Linked DNA regions of Saccharomyces cerevisiae S288C. Changing the gene in region 1 together with any one later gene gives a genetic interaction. Each region holds a gene or a part of one and is shown on either strand. Other genes may lie near its edges. The genes, in order: CIK1, NUM1, RTT109 and MRC1.

The links.
Region 2: mutations in CIK1 (region 1) and NUM1 together harm fitness more than expected from each alone (negative genetic interaction), as found in Saccharomyces cerevisiae (3 studies listed by BioGRID).
Region 3: mutations in CIK1 (region 1) and RTT109 together harm fitness more than expected from each alone (negative genetic interaction), as found in Saccharomyces cerevisiae (4 studies listed by BioGRID, with this or other methods).
Region 4: mutations in CIK1 (region 1) and MRC1 together harm fitness more than expected from each alone (negative genetic interaction), as found in Saccharomyces cerevisiae (6 studies listed by BioGRID, with this or other methods).

The regions. Positions count from the first base shown.
Region 1 is NC_001145.3:658,193-662,072, forward strand, and holds CIK1 (Cik1p), read left to right. Parts: upstream 1-1,552; coding exon 1,553-3,337; downstream 3,338-3,880. Other genes in the region: YMR196W (uncharacterized protein), read left to right, coding at 1-150; v-SNARE protein VTI1, read right to left, coding at 353-1,006. UniProt on the Saccharomyces cerevisiae protein: Together with the minus end-directed microtubule motor KAR3, involved in spindle midzone assembly, karyogamy (nuclear fusion) during mating, and with an essential function in meiosis I.
Region 2 is NC_001136.10:754,023-758,687, forward strand, and holds the start of NUM1 (Num1p), read left to right. Parts: upstream 1-1,605; coding exon 1,606-4,665. Other genes in the region: KGD2 (dihydrolipoyl transsuccinylase), read right to left, coding at 1-1,044. UniProt on the Saccharomyces cerevisiae protein: Controls nuclear migration. NUM1 specifically controls the interaction of the bud neck cytoskeleton with the pre-divisional G2 nucleus. Functions in dynein-anchoring.
Region 3 is NC_001144.5:144,505-148,112, reverse strand, and holds RTT109 (H3 histone acetyltransferase RTT109), read right to left. Parts: upstream 1,823-3,608; coding exon 512-1,822; downstream 1-511. Other genes in the region: dynamin-related GTPase DNM1, read right to left, coding at 1-223; SFI1 (Sfi1p), read right to left, coding at 2,072-3,608. UniProt on the Saccharomyces cerevisiae protein: Histone chaperone-dependent acetylase that modifies 'Lys-9', 'Lys-14', 'Lys-23', 'Lys-27', and 'Lys-56' on histone H3 (H3K9Ac, H3K14Ac and H3K23Ac, H3K27Ac, and H3K56Ac) to promote nucleosome assembly, genomic stability, DNA repair and transcriptional regulation during mitotic S-phase.
Region 4 is NC_001135.5:18,256-24,100, reverse strand, and holds MRC1 (chromatin-modulating protein MRC1), read left to right. Parts: upstream 1-1,994; coding exon 1,995-5,285; downstream 5,286-5,845. Other genes in the region: MIC10 (Mic10p), read left to right, coding at 1-69; ADF1 (Adf1p), read right to left, coding at 176-517; FYV5 (Fyv5p), read left to right, coding at 120-578; ribosome biosynthesis protein KRR1, read left to right, coding at 722-1,672; VAC17 (Vac17p), read right to left, coding at 5,540-5,845. UniProt on the Saccharomyces cerevisiae protein: Required for normal DNA replication. Phosphorylated in response to DNA replication stress. Phosphorylation allows it to mediate the activation of RAD53.

The DNA.
Region 1 (3,880 bases):
GTGGTACCTGAAGATCGTCACAACTTTGAAACCAAGCTTATAGGCAAGCTAAAAGATAAGGTGAAAAATATGAAAGTAACTGACAAGGCTAAAGATGAGGATATAGACCCAATGGACCCAATGAGTCCGTTGAATAAGGATGTGTCTTGATTAACTGCGGTGAACCTTCAATATCTGTACGTTTGAAAAATATTTCCAACGATATACCTCTATATTTTGATCTATAGAATATTTAATTGCAGTAGTTTTTTATCAGTAAGGTAGCGTTGATATTACTAGTGAAGGTAACTCTATAGTTCCTTGACATGTTCTTTAGATTCTAGAGGTTTTTTATTGAATTTGTTTTCCCACCTTATTTAAACTTTGAGAACAAAACTAGCAAAATCAATAATATAAGGACTGCGATAATGGCATAGCTTATGAATTTATTAGCAACTAGCCTTCTAGTCATTGTTTTTAGTGTCTTTATACTTTTATCCACATATGAATCCGCTTGAAACAAGGTCTGTCTTGCATTTTCCAAAGTTTCTCTCTGTGACCTTAAATCCATCATTATTTGTGACCCTATTCCTTCAGTTTCATTTGCTATTCTACTGGCATCTTTTAGTCTATCTCCCGATTTCTGTAAGATTGCATGGTTGCTCAACAACTGTTGCCTTTGGTCATCGTCAATATTAGATGCGTTAAGATCTCCAAAAAGTCTATCACGATCGCCTGAGTCTACTAAGGATTGCAGTGGTCGTTTGATATCGCTCTGTATAGTCTTCTTCCATTCTCTTAACTTCGCCTTGTACGTAGCACGTTCTGAGGCATCGCCTATGCTGTTATTAACTTCTACATCCATCTGATCTAGCAGGTCAAACAACTCATCTTGTTGCTGTTCTACGTGCTTCAGTGTAGTATTTCTCTGTGATAACGGTTGTGAGGGGGCCTCTGCTAAGCTCGCTTTGGCTTGTTCTAAGGTTGTTTTGAAGTCAGATTCGTATGATATTAATAGGGAACTCATAGTAAGCCATGCAGCAATGTAAAGAGTGCGGTTGATTCGTTTTATACAACTTAATGTAAAGCTTTACACTTTTCCAAGAATAGTAATTGCCCTATATAGCACGACTACTCCACTCCTAACTTTCATTGAAAATTAGACAGTCATGTGATCAGTAATATCGTCCATAGTGATATTTGTTTGTTTACCATTTTTGTTCTTATTTACTCTCTAATATGATTCTAGTATATGAAAGATACCACTGTCGTAGCTCGTATCAAAATAAAACTAGTCAGTCGTTGACCATTGAGCATATCGTCCGAGAATAAGGCTTTACTGTATTATTTTTTGATATCCACACGTTATTGAGCTCATTCACTGATCGACACATTTAGGCGGCTTTTCCGTTTGGCTGAAGCAACTTTGAAACACAACTACGACATTATAATTAAGCGCCTAAATAAGTGAATTTTGTGCCATAGGGTTGGACCGTGTATATATAAGAGCTATTCACTATTTTAATATTTGTTTTGGCATTTGAAACTCGTTGACATAAGCTTTATTATTAGGATGAATAACTCCAAAATTCCTAAACTTTCCTTTCATAGTGATCCAAACAACGTCACTCGAGACTTTCCAAAGACAAAACGACAGAAGGTTCAGAAAAGAGAAATGGATATGATACTAACTCCTAATAACAACAAGCTAAATATATTGCACAGCTCTGGATCTGGTATACGGCGCTGCTACACTGATGACACCTCCGCTACGTATACTAAGAAACTAACCTTTGGGGGGGACCCCAAGATTATTGAAAGGGTTAAGAACAATGAACGTAAGGTTAGAAAAGACATAGATTCACTACTGAATGCTATTTCTGAAATTGAAAAGGAATCTGTTCGTATTCATGCCAGGGAACTACCTGCAATAACATTAGAATTAGATGCAAAAGTCAAAGCGTGCAGGGAGCTACAAAATGAGATTGATGGACTATCAACGGAGATGGACTTGAAGGATAATCAATGTGATCTTCAAAGAAAGAATGTTGAGCTATCATCAAAAAATATAGTGTCTATGCATGCAGTAAAAGTACAAGAGTTCGAAAACGATTTAGAGGAAGAGCTATCGAATGCCAAAAGGGAGTGGACGTATAAATTAATGGAAGTAGAAAATTTGAAACCTGACGAAAGGTTAACTGACGAAATGCGACAGCTTAAAACAGAATTCGAGGAGGTCAATAGGAAACTATTCATTCTACAGAATGAAAATGAGAACGAGTGTAAAAACTACAAAAAAGAATTGGACAAGAAATTCGAGATATTCAAGAAAGTTAAGAACGATGCTAGAATTGAATTAGATGGGGAGCAAGAAAGACTTTCGAAAGTTTTAAAAGACCTACAAGACACCCATGGTGAACTGAAAGAAAATATTAAGACGTGTAGAGATGAGTTTAACGATTTTGAAAAAAGGATTGGAGAGGCAGAAGTGAACTTCCATAGCATGGAACTTGCCGTTGTTCCTCTCAAAAAGAAGCTTGCTTCTACATCACAAGCATTGACGCAAGTGCAGGAGGAGAAGAAGCAAGTCGAAGGAGAAGCAAACAATTGGAAGAAGAAGTACGTTAATGAACTAGAAAAGGTTCAACAGGAATTATACACACGACAAAATCTGGCCACTTCAATTGAAGAAATCAAAGGATACACCCGATGCTTTGCGTATGCCAATGAACGACAAATGCCTGATGAATTCCATATCAACTATGTGGATCGGTGCATTTGCGAGAATAGTGGAGAAAAACGGGTACAAGTATTTGATAGAGTAGTTCTCGAAGAAATCCATAAGGATCACAAACGCTTATATAACGAATGCATTCCGTTCCTGGAAAAATACATCAGCAAGTTAATTAACTGCAGCATTATAGTGGTTTCGCAGCAACCCACAGCACCAATGAAAAAGACTTTGCTAAAACAGTTAATTGAGCAGTACGGTGAGAATTATAAGATGACATTGAACATTTTGCATCTTGACGGAAGTATTAAACACAGTGACGTTGGATTAGATAACCCAACAGAAATTAGAGATCTGTCACAAGATGAAGAATGCATGAACATTTTAACTTTAGATACCAAGTTGGGAAAAGATGAAGAGTCCCATTCAATGAATATATATATCGGTAGTATGTCCACGGTACAGCTGAATAGAGAGCTTGATGATGCTCCCTCAGTCCTTTCGCATATTCTCACTAAAACAAAGCAGTGCTTTGTCTTCAAGATTAACGCTGGTGAAAACATCGAGAAGGCTCTAGCCTTAGCGGGAAAGCTGAAAAGAACAATAACATTACCTCAGCTAGATTAAGAAGGCCAGATCTTGTGCGCTACAATCACTTCGTCTCGTTCCCTTACATAAAAAACTTACGTAGCTACATTGTCGTGCGTGGCATCAACCTAATTATCCTAGCAAAATAAAAGAGAATGTTACGGGACTAACAGGCGGATGTAAATTACTCACTTAAACGCAGCCAAACATCATCGAGAACTTAGGGTAGCGTGCCACAAAATTTGCATGAATAAACTTTTGTTTTCCTAATTCGACAGCATTCCCTTGTTCGCAACACTTCACTGATAGGAAATCGAATAGCGCACACTCTCTTCTGGGACATACCCCAATGCGGTAAAGCCACGAAAACACCGCGCGTAAAGGGGTAAACAAGTCCATTCCTACAACCTCTTGGAGAAATTCTTTACCTACTACAACCCCGCGCCTGATACTTTCAGTATTCATGACAACTCGAGCCAGATCCCGCTCGTGGGCGTGTTCATTCTGTGACGATCCACTAGCGACTTCTTTGTTCAGCCTGCAAGAGACGCGTTCAAGGAAGAATTCGCGATTTTACTTCTT
Region 2 (4,665 bases), on another chromosome or scaffold:
TGACTCTGCATTACGAACGACGGGGGTAACCAAACCCTTTGGAGTGGCCACAGCAACAGAAATATCTGTGTAATCACGATAAACAATCTGGTCACCTTCAATGGCACCATTGACGGCTGGAATATCCTTGGCGGCCAAGGTACATGCTTTGGAGAAAAGACCCATGAATCCGAATTTAGTACCGGTCTTCTTAATAATCTCATCTTTATACAGTTTCCTCATTTCCATCAAAGCTGACATGTCAACTTCGTTGAATGTGGTTAAGGAAGCAGCAGTGTTTTGAGACTCTTTTAATCTTTCGGCAATCCTCAATCTCATACGGTTCATTTTGACCCTGGTTTCTGTACGTGGAAATGGTGTGAAAGAGTTAGAGGCTACTGGGGGTTCCTGCGCCTTAGAGACGGTCTTCTTTGGTTGATCAGCCTTTTTTGGTTCTGTAACTTCTTTCTTTGGAGCGGCTTCTTTCTTTGGAGCAGCTTCTTTCTTTGAAGCCGTTTCCTCACTTGAGTTTTCCCTTGCGGCGACACCTTGCGATGGCTCCGCTTGTTCGGTAGGCTCTGGCTTAGATTCTCCAGAACCCTCAGCAGGTGCTTCACCAGGCTCGACCTGAGCTAACTCCTCACCAACAGTGACAGTGTCCTCTGGTTTGAAATTTAGCTTCGTAACAGTACCTGATACTGGCGAATTGACCTCAATATCAATTTTATCGGTCTCAATAGTGGCCAACAGCTCGTCCTCCTTAATAAAATCACCAACGTTTTTAGTATATTCCTTTAAAGAGCCTTCAGTCAGGGACTCTGCCATCGGAGGAACTTCAATAGAGGTAGATTTAAAACGATTGCTAGTTATGGAGAACGGATTCGCCGCAACTGAAATTTTCTTGCCGGATAAATATATTGAACCTAAGGATTCGACCTTGTTAGCTTGTTTGAACAAACTTGTAGAAGCATGTCTCTTGACGAAAGAAGCAGCCATAACATTTCTAGCCACTTTAGATTTTACTAAGGATTTGGCAGCTGCAGTACGCGTCGCTCTGGAAAGCATTGTTTAAATAATTATCTGAAGTTGTGTCTTTGGTTGTAACAAATGTGGTAGTGAAGTTTATAACAATATATCTATTCACTGATATATACCGTTAAAGATAGCTGCCTAATTTTTTATTTCGGATTTTTCTTTTTTTTACGTTAGATATTTCCTCCCCTGAAGCTCAAAAAGAGATTATATATGAAAAGTAGGCCTAGTTGAGGGAAAAAGGATTTGCATTTGCTGATAGACCAAGTGTGGATCCGAGCCCTGTAGTAGAATGGTGCTAATGTAGAATAAGAATAAGCTTTAGGAACCATAGATTCCTGCGTAATTTGTGGCCGCTTTATTGGCTCACTCCGGGCAGGACCTTAGTTTTGATTGGCTGCAAAAAAAGGGTTGTTAATATCGTCTTTGACGGAGATGCGGGTGGCTGGAATTGTTTTGTTTATTATTCCCCAAGAGAGAAGAGACAAGAAGTAGTAATGACGATGGAACAAAGATCGGTTCTAATAGGACCACAGGGTTGAATAGAGACGAGTAAAGACGCAACGGTCAAGGCTTTCCACGAGACGTTCGAATATGTCCCACAACAACAGGCATAAAAAGAATAACGATAAAGACAGCTCAGCAGGGCAGTATGCAAATAGCATTGACAATTCATTAAGCCAGGAAAGCGTCTCAACGAACGGCGTAACAAGGATGGCTAACTTAAAGGCTGATGAATGCGGCAGTGGTGATGAAGGAGATAAAACAAAGCGGTTTTCGATTTCAAGTATTTTGAGTAAAAGAGAGACAAAAGACGTGCTTCCGGAATTTGCAGGCAGTAGTTCCCACAATGGAGTACTCACGGCGAATTCATCAAAGGATATGAACTTTACTTTGGAACTAAGCGAGAATTTGTTGGTTGAGTGTAGGAAATTGCAATCCTCTAATGAAGCTAAAAATGAGCAAATCAAGTCTCTCAAGCAAATTAAAGAGTCATTAAGTGACAAGATTGAGGAGCTCACTAACCAAAAAAAGTCCTTCATGAAAGAGTTGGATTCAACTAAAGATTTAAACTGGGATTTAGAATCTAAATTAACAAACTTGAGCATGGAATGTAGGCAATTAAAAGAATTGAAGAAAAAGACTGAAAAATCTTGGAATGATGAAAAAGAAAGCCTGAAACTTCTGAAAACAGATTTGGAAATTTTAACATTAACAAAAAATGGCATGGAAAATGATCTTAGCTCTCAAAAACTTCATTACGATAAAGAGATTAGTGAATTAAAGGAAAGGATTTTAGACTTAAATAATGAAAACGACAGATTACTTATTAGTGTTTCTGATCTAACAAGTGAAATTAATTCCTTACAGAGCAATAGAACTGAAAGAATAAAAATTCAAAAGCAACTTGATGACGCCAAAGCATCTATTTCTTCGTTAAAAAGAAAAGTACAAAAGAAGTATTATCAAAAACAGCATACTTCCGATACTACAGTAACATCTGATCCTGATTCTGAGGGGACCACTAGTGAAGAAGACATTTTTGATATAGTGATCGAAATTGACCACATGATTGAAACAGGCCCCTCTGTCGAGGACATTTCTGAAGATCTTGTCAAGAAATACTCAGAAAAAAACAATATGATATTGTTATCGAATGATTCATATAAAAACTTACTACAAAAAAGTGAAAGTGCATCCAAACCAAAAGACGATGAATTAATGACCAAAGAGGTGGCTGAAAACCTGAATATGATCGCGTTACCAAATGATGACAATTACAGCAAAAAAGAGTTTTCGTTAGAATCTCATATTAAATATTTAGAAGCTTCTGGCTATAAAGTTCTTCCTCTAGAGGAGTTTGAGAACCTAAACGAATCCCTATCAAATCCATCATATAACTATCTCAAGGAAAAACTTCAGGCTTTGAAAAAGATACCCATCGATCAAAGTACGTTTAACTTGTTAAAAGAGCCTACTATTGATTTTTTACTGCCTTTAACATCCAAAATTGATTGCCTGATAATACCTACCAAAGATTATAATGACCTTTTTGAGAGTGTCAAGAATCCATCAATTGAACAAATGAAAAAATGCCTGGAAGCAAAGAACGACTTACAATCGAATATTTGTAAATGGCTGGAGGAGAGAAACGGCTGTAAATGGCTAAGTAATGATCTGTATTTTTCAATGGTTAATAAGATAGAAACACCTTCGAAACAATACCTGTCAGATAAGGCAAAAGAATACGACCAAGTGCTGATTGATACTAAAGCCTTAGAAGGTTTAAAGAACCCAACGATAGACTTTCTAAGAGAAAAAGCTTCTGCATCAGATTATTTATTACTCAAAAAAGAAGACTACGTGAGCCCATCACTGGAATACCTAGTTGAACATGCCAAGGCCACCAATCACCATTTACTATCGGATAGTGCATACGAAGACCTAGTCAAGTGCAAGGAGAATCCTGATATGGAATTCTTGAAGGAGAAGTCTGCCAAACTAGGCCACACTGTGGTATCCAACGAGGCATATTCTGAATTGGAAAAGAAACTAGAACAACCATCACTGGAATACCTAGTTGAACATGCCAAGGCGACCAATCACCATTTACTATCGGATAGTGCATACGAAGACCTAGTCAAGTGCAAGGAGAATCCTGATATGGAATTCTTGAAGGAGAAGTCTGCCAAACTAGGCCATACTGTGGTATCCAACGAGGCATATTCTGAATTGCAACGCAAATACTCAGAATTGGAGAAGGAAGTAGAACAACCATCTCTAGCATACTTAGTTGAACACGCCAAGGCTACCGATCACCATTTACTATCGGATAGTGCATACGAAGACCTAGTCAAGTGCAAGGAGAATCCTGATGTGGAATTCTTGAAGGAGAAGTCTGCTAAACTAGGCCATACTGTGGTATCTAGCGAGGAATATTCTGAATTGCAACGCAAATACTCAGAATTGGAGAAGGAAGTAGAACAACCATCACTAGCATACCTAGTCGAACACGCCAAGGCTACCGATCACCATTTACTATCGGATAGTGCATACGAAGAACTAGTCAAGTGCAAGGAGAATCCTGATATGGAATTCTTGAAGGAGAAGTCTGCCAAACTAGGCCACACTGTGGTATCCAACGAGGCATATTCTGAATTGGAAAAGAAACTAGAACAACCATCACTAGCATACCTAGTCGAACATGCCAAGGCTACCGATCACCATCTGCTATCGGATAGTGCATACGAAGACCTAGTCAAGTGCAAGGAAAATTCTGATGTAGAATTCTTGAAGGAGAAGTCTGCTAAACTAGGCCATACTGTGGTATCCAACGAAGCATATTCTGAATTGGAAAAGAAACTAGAACAACCATCACTAGCATACCTAGTCGAACATGCCAAGGCTACCGATCACCATCTGCTATCGGATAGTGCATACGAAGACCTAGTCAAGTGCAAGGAGAATCCTGATATGGAATTCTTGAAGGAGAAGTCTGCCAAACTAGGCCACACTGTGGTATCCAACGAGGCATATTCTGAATTGGAAAAGAAACTAGAACAACCATCACTGGAATACCTAGTTGAACATGCCAAGGCCACCAATCACCATTTACTATCGGATAGTGCATACGAAGACCTAGTCAAGTGCAAG
Region 3 (3,608 bases), on another chromosome or scaffold:
GAGATATGTTATTAAGTTGAAGAACTAACGGTCTTCTTGTGACAATACCAGTACCCCTAGGTAAAAAATCTCTTCCAACTAACGTTTCCAATATCGAGGATTTCCCGGAGGATTGTGACCCAACAACAGCTAAAATGGGCAAATCGAGTGTATCGATCCCGGAGTCGTACATAACATCCTGCAGCTTGTTGACAGTAGGAATAAGATCTTCTAAACTAGCCATTCTTTATCCGTCGTATTTAGATTCGCTGGTAGCTACTTAATGATAAACTCTTTAGCAAATTGTGGCCAACCTGAGCAGTAGAGTAAAGGTAATATTTCATCCTACCCTCTTATTTATTGTTCCCACACTTTGTTTTGCCCGACCTTACAGGCGTGCACCGCGTAGTAAAAGTTGAGGACCTATCATTACCTAGAAAGGTGGCGATCAAGGTACTAACAATAAATACAAACATGCATTTTCTAAGATCGATGCTACATACGTGTACTAAATAATAAATATCAATATGTATCAAGTTTTAGGCAAGGCTTTAGCTTTTTTACGCGGTTTTAGCATTGTTATCGCCAACGTGTTGATGTTGCTTGCAGGAACCGGCTGATTTCTCTCCCGATGCTCCCTCTTCCCTGTTAAAGATTGAAGATTTGTTGCCATTCTGAGCAATAGAAAATCACGAATATTGGTGAAAGCTTCTATTGCGCCTTCCTCTGTATCGTATTCCTCTCCAGTAATGTACTTCTTGATTGCCCTAAACTGCTTCCTTGACTTCGGTACAATAACATCGGCACTAGATGGAAATAAAGATGGAGTGGCAAGAGAGTATCCCGAAATACCCATTACAGATGATGTGACACTTAATTTGAACTCTTGACGCTCTTGTAGTTCAATCCAGAAGGATGATAAGCTTACTTTGAGGAGGCGATCTTCCTCTGCCAATTGGTGTATAAATCTAGCCTTAGGATCGTCTGGGAATAATGGAATATTATATACCGCAAGAGAATTTTCTTTAGAGGTAAATATATCACCCACTTGCCATAGTGGATATTTCATCCCTCTTAGGTATGATCTTACTCGAGCAGGATCTTCGCCCGGTATCCTTAATTTTGCTTGTGTATCATTTTGAAAGCATTCAATTAGTAATCTATCCAAAATAAAGCCCCACCATTTCATTAGTTCCTCGCCATTTAGTATATGCTTTTTGCTGTTTTTTGAAGAATCTGGGAAGAGGTACTGGGATGCAGGTCTAGTAAATAAACAAATTTTGGTCAAAATCTCACGAGGACAGGTGAATGAGAGATAAAGATCTTGTTGAAAACGTGGAGATTCTATTTCTTTCAAAACGGTGCTGCCTGACTGTTTAAGCCTTCTAGCCAAAATCCTTAAAGTTCTTGCTGGCGTACTGGCTGCGCTAATCAGCTCGGGGGATATCTTCTTATATGATCTTATTGCCGGTTTTACTTTTTGAAGATAGTAATTCGGGTCGATTGATAATATAAATTCTAATATTATTTTTGTAATATCTCTAACGCTTACCCTCGTATTACAATAACCATTAGTGTCTGCCTTTGATACAAATATTAACCGTTCGGCATCTGCTTCATCCCAAAGCGTGACATACACATACACTTCTAATGAAAAAAAAACTTTTCCTTGGTGAAATAGACTAAAGAAGTGTTGAGTCTTGATCGTGCTTTTTGGGACCCTTTTGTCGTCCTTATTTGGGGTTACGACAGCATGGGTTTCTAACGGAATAGATTGCAACGATAAGTATTCAAATTGTTCACTGACAGGTAGCACGGAACTTAGGAAGTCATTCAGTGACATGTCTTATTGAAGACCGGTTGAATTGACCTTTTAACTCTACTGGACAACTCTATTGACAAACTGTAGTTTGTTAAGTAATGCGTTATGGCGTCCATTTTCCATTATAGCTTACAACGCGAACACGAAAAGTATAGTATGTTGTGATGTTTTCATAGACCTGGAGAATATTATTAGTAATTGTATGCATCTCAGAAGCAAGAAAGGTTACGACTACATATGCACACATACATACGTACATAATATATATATCTATTGACGTTTACGACTTAACGGGGATTTATCATGCTCTCTTATATAATCCATATCTTGATCGATTTTAGGAGAATTGGCGCTTAGGCTAAAAGGTACAGCGGGTATTCTGCCAAAATCAATATGGTCAACTTTGGATGGCATGTTTCTAGTGGTACGCCTAGGAGAATACCTTAGAGGTTTTCCTCGCGTCGGAGATCCGTTTAAGCCTGTCGTACTTTCAAGGTTGATCTGTTTTTTAGCTGTAGAATCAAGAACACTGGAAGATTTCACCGGACTTGGTATGGCTCTTCTTGCCCTGCTATAATGCGACTTCATCGCTTCCATTCTGTGCTGCTTTATTCTTTCTGAGCCTGGTATGGTTGAGGCGTTTTGAGAGTCTGATCTTATGGGAGTTTTTAGTTCATGTTTAAGATTGAAGTCCTTCCTTCTCTTTGGAGAACTGTCTGAACGATTTTTCCATAATAATAACAATCCCCTTACAGTGGCCCTGTCCCACCGATGACGAAACACCTCGACTGTCTCATCATTACGCTTAATTTTTAGGAATCGAAGACTCCACATTTTCAAGAATTTGGATGTAATTATGAATTGTTTATTAGCTTCCGATTGTTCCAATAATGTACTCATATAAAATATTTCGTCTAGATGAGTTTTCCAAATATAAAACGTCTTGACTAACACAAATTCTTCGCGAACTTCGTCTGCTAATTCTTCTGATTTTACTATCTCTAAAAGTCTTTCTCTAAATTTCTTCAGCACCATTTTTTCAAGCTGGTAGTTTCTCTTTGAAATAGCCTGAATGTTACATTCTTCTGTGTAGAAGCAAAATCTATTTCGCCAAGCGTTGAACAGTTGGCTTTGAAGTTCGCGCTCTTTACTCTTTTCATAAACGTGTAAAATATCGTTTAACTTATGCCTGACTTTGAACCTTGTGGCTTTCCGCCACTTTAAAAAGGCCTTAGAAAGCTTTACTCTATCCATAGAGGGCGCCAGTTTCGTATATAGCAAATGAACATTATCAATATGCATTAGCGTCCGTTTTACAGTCAAAATTGCATGTGTCTTACATAAGAAATTGTATCTATCCTCCAATTCCTTAGTTTTAATCAGGCGTTCTTTCCATATAGCTAGACACTCATTTACGAGACCCTCTTCGTAAAATTTGGATGCTTCGTCATTCATAGAATTCATTTGTAGCATCCTCCTTTTCCACACACCAAGATATTTTGCACAAAATGCCGTTTTAACATGTTCGCTCGATATTTTCCCATACTGTATTCTTTTCCTCCATGTACGATACGCGCTTGCTTGAATACTCTTTTTACATTTCTGCTCAAATATTTTTAACTTTACTTCAAGTTTCCAACTTCGCAATGATGACTTGAGCAAATTAGTCCTCGAATAATCGCTTGCTTTGAGGTCAATATATAGAAGTTTTTTCCATGAATGAAAAATACGCTTCACGAGGTTAGCCTCTTTTAGACTTACAATTGAATACAAATGCAGATGGTCTTCGAATCTTTTCAGCCACATC
Region 4 (5,845 bases), on another chromosome or scaffold:
GGAAGAGGCTACGCCGAGGGCGACGCCATCTTTAGATCCAGCGCTGGCCTCAGATCCTCGAAGGTTTAGTCTTAAGCGACGATGCTTTATATATATTCAAAAAAAAAAATAATAAAAATATGCAGTACCATTCCGCTCTATATGTATATATTTACGTAACTTTCACCACTATTCCCTATAAGGAAAAGCCGGATATCATTTCGATCTGCTTCAGCATGCTGTCGTTTGTTTTTGATTTTTCTGTCCGAATTTGCTCTCGTACCTTGGAGTCCTTTTCCTGGTCCTTGATCAGCTCCTCGGCTTTCAAAGTAGTCTCAGCTTTCAGTTTAGCTGGCTCTTGTGTACTTGCCTCCCGCAGCAGCGTCGGTATCATTGTTTCACTACTTTTGTTTAACTTTTCCACTTGTAACTTTGTTCTCTTCCTTTCAGCGGTGCTGATCGACCTCTTTTTTTGTACTTTCTTGCCAACACCAACATTCTTGCCCACACCTTTCTTTTTCATGCTACACTTGCCCATTTTTTCCTTGCTAAATGCCCTTGAGTTATTGTACCTTATTATAGCAGGCTTGCACATCTGAAAACGAAAATTTTTTTTTCCTTATATTTCTAATTCTTTTAGCGATGAGATATGAAAATTTTCAAAAAAAAGAGATGATGAGGTTAACTATTGTAAAGTAGACAGCAAACAAAAGGGTCACACAAATATCCAAATTGGCAAACGATGGTGTCTACACATAACAGAGATAAACCTTGGGATACGGATGATATTGATAAATGGAAGATAGAGGAGTTTAAGGAAGAGGATAACGCATCCGGTCAACCTTTTGCTGAAGAGTCCAGTTTTATGACTTTGTTTCCTAAATACAGAGAAAGTTACTTGAAGACGATTTGGAATGATGTAACAAGGGCTCTAGACAAACACAACATAGCGTGTGTTCTAGATTTAGTCGAAGGTTCTATGACAGTAAAAACAACTAGAAAAACATACGATCCCGCTATCATTTTGAAAGCCAGAGATTTGATCAAATTATTGGCGAGATCCGTTCCTTTCCCGCAAGCCGTTAAGATCCTACAAGATGACATGGCATGCGACGTTATTAAAATTGGTAATTTCGTTACTAACAAAGAAAGGTTTGTCAAGAGAAGACAACGTCTTGTAGGCCCTAACGGTAATACTTTAAAGGCTTTGGAACTTCTAACTAAATGTTACATTCTAGTACAAGGTAACACAGTAAGTGCCATGGGTCCCTTCAAGGGCTTGAAGGAGGTCCGTCGAGTAGTAGAAGATTGTATGAAAAATATTCACCCTATCTATCATATCAAGGAATTAATGATAAAAAGAGAATTGGCAAAAAGGCCAGAGTTAGCCAATGAAGATTGGTCAAGATTCTTGCCCATGTTTAAGAAGAGGAATGTGGCCAGAAAGAAACCCAAGAAGATCAGAAACGTCGAAAAGAAGGTCTATACTCCATTTCCTCCTGCCCAATTGCCTAGAAAGGTTGATTTGGAAATTGAAAGTGGTGAGTATTTCTTAAGCAAGAGAGAAAAGCAAATGAAGAAATTAAATGAGCAAAAGGAAAAGCAAATGGAAAGAGAAATCGAAAGGCAGGAAGAGAGAGCAAAAGATTTCATAGCTCCGGAAGAAGAAGCATACAAGCCAAACCAAAATTAGTTTACACCGCTACGGAATCCTTCATATATGTCTATATATATATAGAAACACACACACATTTCGTTTACTTAGATATGTTTGTAAAGTGAAAGAAATTCTTACTAGGACACCAACTCTACTGGCTCTCATATGCAGAGAGATATACATCAATACTTGAAATTTTCCTTATCCTTCTTCGACGCGTCATGAAGAGATAGAATGCGTAAAACGCGTTTGCTTCAATAGCATTTCAAACACATTATGTTGGAAAAAAACCAAGAACAGACAAACAACTAAGGAAGTTCGTTATTCGCTTTTGAACTTATCACCAAATATTTTAGTGATGGATGATGCCTTGCATGCTTTGTCCTCGTTGACTGCAAAGAAGAGAACTACCACCTACAAAAAAGTTGCTGTTCCCATACTAGATGAGAACGATAATACTAATGGAAATGGGCCCAATGACATAGACAATCCGCCAGAGTTGACTGGGAACGGGTTTTTATTTGCCAATGCCACATTAAATCGTGTTAAGAACAGATTAGAAGGCAAGAAAGCACCCGAACAGAATCACAATAATGGAAAAGATAGGAGTGAGAATTCGTTACCAACTCAATTAATCTCTAATCTTTACGATGGTGGTGAAGAGCTGGAGAAATCCGAAGTTAAAGATAATAGTTACAGTGAGAAAAATGTCTCTTCTTCATTCACGCAGACGCAAAGAATACCTGTCAGCATCCAACAAGACAAGGTGTTTAACGTACCTATCCATTCCGTTAATGACGGGAAACCCACCCAATTAATCAAAGAAGATGGTCTCGTCAACGAAACTTCTCAAGCGCTGAAAACACCTCTCACGACAGGACGGCCAGGGGCTACACAGCGTATAGATAGCAGCGGTGCAACCTCACAAACTCAGCCTATAAAATCAATTGAACCACAATCCCAAATAATTACGACTTCCAGCAATCATTCTAATGCTCTGTCGCCGAAAATTCCTATAATTCCAACGGAACTTATTGGAACTAGTCCTTTATTTCAGTCCATTCAAAATCGTGGTCCTGACACCCAAATGGATGTACCACCACAGACTGCGCATGATGAGGATAAGACACAAGCAATTGGTATTCCACAGGCTACGCATCAGGAACAGAAAACCCAAATAGATACAGTCGCACAAACACTTCAAGATGAAGTACCACACACATTAAAAATTCGGGAAATACAAAGCGAATTGGCTTCAGAAGATTCTAAAAGGGAAAAAGCTAGAAATGTCGAATACAAAAAACCGCAAAAGCCAATACCAACCAAAAAATTTTTTTCTAAAGAGTCTTTTCTTGCTGATTTTGACGATTCGTCCTCAAATGAGGACGATGATATAAAGCTGGAAAATGCACATCCAAAACCAGTACAGAATGACGATGAACTGCATGAGAACAAAAGTGTTGAATTAAATCTAACTGATGAGACAAGAATAAATGAGAAAAGGGTTCCACTATTGAGCTCCTATGCTAATAATTTGAAACGGGAAATTGACTCCTCGAAATGCATAACACTGGACCTCGACAGCGACAGTGACGAATATGGAGATGATGATATGGATAGCATTAAATTATCCAAAGATGAAAGCGTTTTGCCAATCTCTCAGTTATCAAAGGCGACTATATTAAACCTGAAGGCAAGACTCTCTAAACAAAATCAAAAGTTGTCTCAAAGGCCGAATAAAAGTAAAGACCCAAAAGTTGATCATAATGTACTATTAAATACCTTAAGGAAAGCTAGCAGGAAACAAATTCTGGATCATCAGAAAGAAGTGATTGAAACGAAAGGTCTGAAGCTGGAGGATATGGCCAAAGAAAAGGAAATAGTAGAGAACTTGCTAGAACAAGAAATTCTTAGAAATAAAAGAATCAGACAAAAAGAGAAGAGAAGGGAAAAACTTGAAGAAAATGACTTTCAATTGAACGCCCATGATTCCGGTTCTGACTCAGGGTCAGAGTCTTCTGGATTTGCATTGAGTGGTAATGAAATTGCCGATTATGAATCATCTGGTAGTGAAAATGACAATCGTAGAGAATCCGATAGTGAAAAGGAAGATGATGAAATTATTCTAAAGCAAAAAAAATCCCACCACGTGAAACATATCATTAACGAATCAGACTCTGATACCGAAGTCGAAGCCAAACCCAAAGAGAAAGCTGATGAAAGTCTACCGAAAAGGATCGCCATTAATCTGGGCCATTACGGTGATAATATCGGAGAGGATACCGACAAATTTCAAGAAACCAATGTTCTAGATACACAAAACATTGAAGAGGTGATGGCCGAAAGAAATACAATCGAAAATGAAGTCAAAGATGATGTATACGTCAATGAAGAAGCTGATGAAGCAATTCGCCGTCAGCTGATTGACAAAGAGAAATTGCAACTAAAACAGAAAGAAAAGGAGCACGAGGCTAAGATAAAAGAGTTGAAGAAAAGAGGTGTCACAAACTTCTTTGAAATGGAAGCCGAAGAATCCGAGGATGAATGGCATGGTATCGGTGGTGCAGATGGAGAAGGATCTGACGACTATGATTCTGACCTAGAAAAAATGATCGATGATTATTCCAAGAACAATTTCAATCCTCATGAAATCAGAGAAATGCTTGCCGCAGAAAATAAGGAAATGGATATCAAAATGATAAACAAAATTCTTTATGACATTAAAAATGGAGGATTTCGTAATAAAAGAGCAAAAAATAGCTTAGAGCTAGAACTAAGTGATGATGATGAAGACGACGTACTACAACAATATCGTCTCAAAAGGAGAGAATTGATGAGAAAAAGGAGATTAGAAATTGGCGATGATGCAAAGCTTGTTAAAAACCCAAAGTCGAGCGCATTTTTTGAAAGTATGGTGGAAGATATTATCGAATATAAAAACCCCTTCGGGGCTGAAGAGGAATATAACCTAGACATTACAAGTACGGCTACTGACCTAGATACTCAGGACAATAGCATTAATGTAGGTGATAATACGGGAAATAATGAACAGAAACCTGTAGATCAAAAGAACAAAAAGGTTATCATATCTGAAGACTTTGTGCAGAAAAGCTTATCCTTCCTAAAAAGTAATAATTATGAGGATTTTGAAACGGATAAGGAGCTATCAAGGATACAACATGGCAATGATGAAGCAATTGAAGATTTATATACCCTAAAACAGAATAGTTCGATAAAGTCATTCACAAATTCTCAAACTGATTCGACCACTTCAAAAACAGTAAACACAATAATTGACTTAGAAAAGCGCCCAGAGGATGAAGATGAGGTGGAAAATGGAGATACATCACTAGTTGGCGTTTTCAAACATCCATCAATAATCAAATCCTTTGCGTCCAGAACAGACATAAATGATAAGTTTAAAGAAGGTAACAAGACAGTCAAGATTCTAAAGTCTTACAAGACAGTGGGGAGTTCAAAAGCTTCTATCACATATATGGGGAAAACGAGAAAATTAATAGCACCAAAGAGGAAAACTGAAGGGAGCCACCGCTACCACCATGACCATCATAATAAAAAAATGAAAATGAAAACGAAAACAAAATCGAATAAACTTTTTGAAAGCGGACAAGATAGCTTTGATAATTAGTGGTTTTTTATCTTTTCCGAAGAAGTTGATTGAACTCCAGAAGCTGTCTTGAAGTAGTCGCATTAAAAAAGATGGCACCCGAGTCTAGGCCAAGCCATAGTCATGTTATGATAGGATTTTATAAGACAAATATTATAAAGAAGTTTAATAATAATACAAAAAGATACAAAAAAACTTGAAGATATTCTGAATAAAAAAAAAAAGAATAAACATTTGGAGCAAAAGAAGAGTAGGTTAGGTAAAGGAGGCATTAATTAAAACAGCAGTTCTGTATTCAAAGCATCTTGCAATTCTTCTATAGAGACGCTTATATCCATATTATTTTTTTGTTCCTGTGCTACATTATGATTTGATATTCGTTCTTCATTCATGCCCTTATTCTTTCTCCCCCTCTTACTTTGAAAAGATTCTGATATTGTGCTTAACGATGAATTAAACTTATCCATAAAAGATGCATGCTTAAGATTTGTGTTGTTCTCTTTTACCGTATGTGTATCTGATCGTGCAATGAATGATGATAACAACGCCTTAGAACTTGAAATACGAGGACCATTACGACT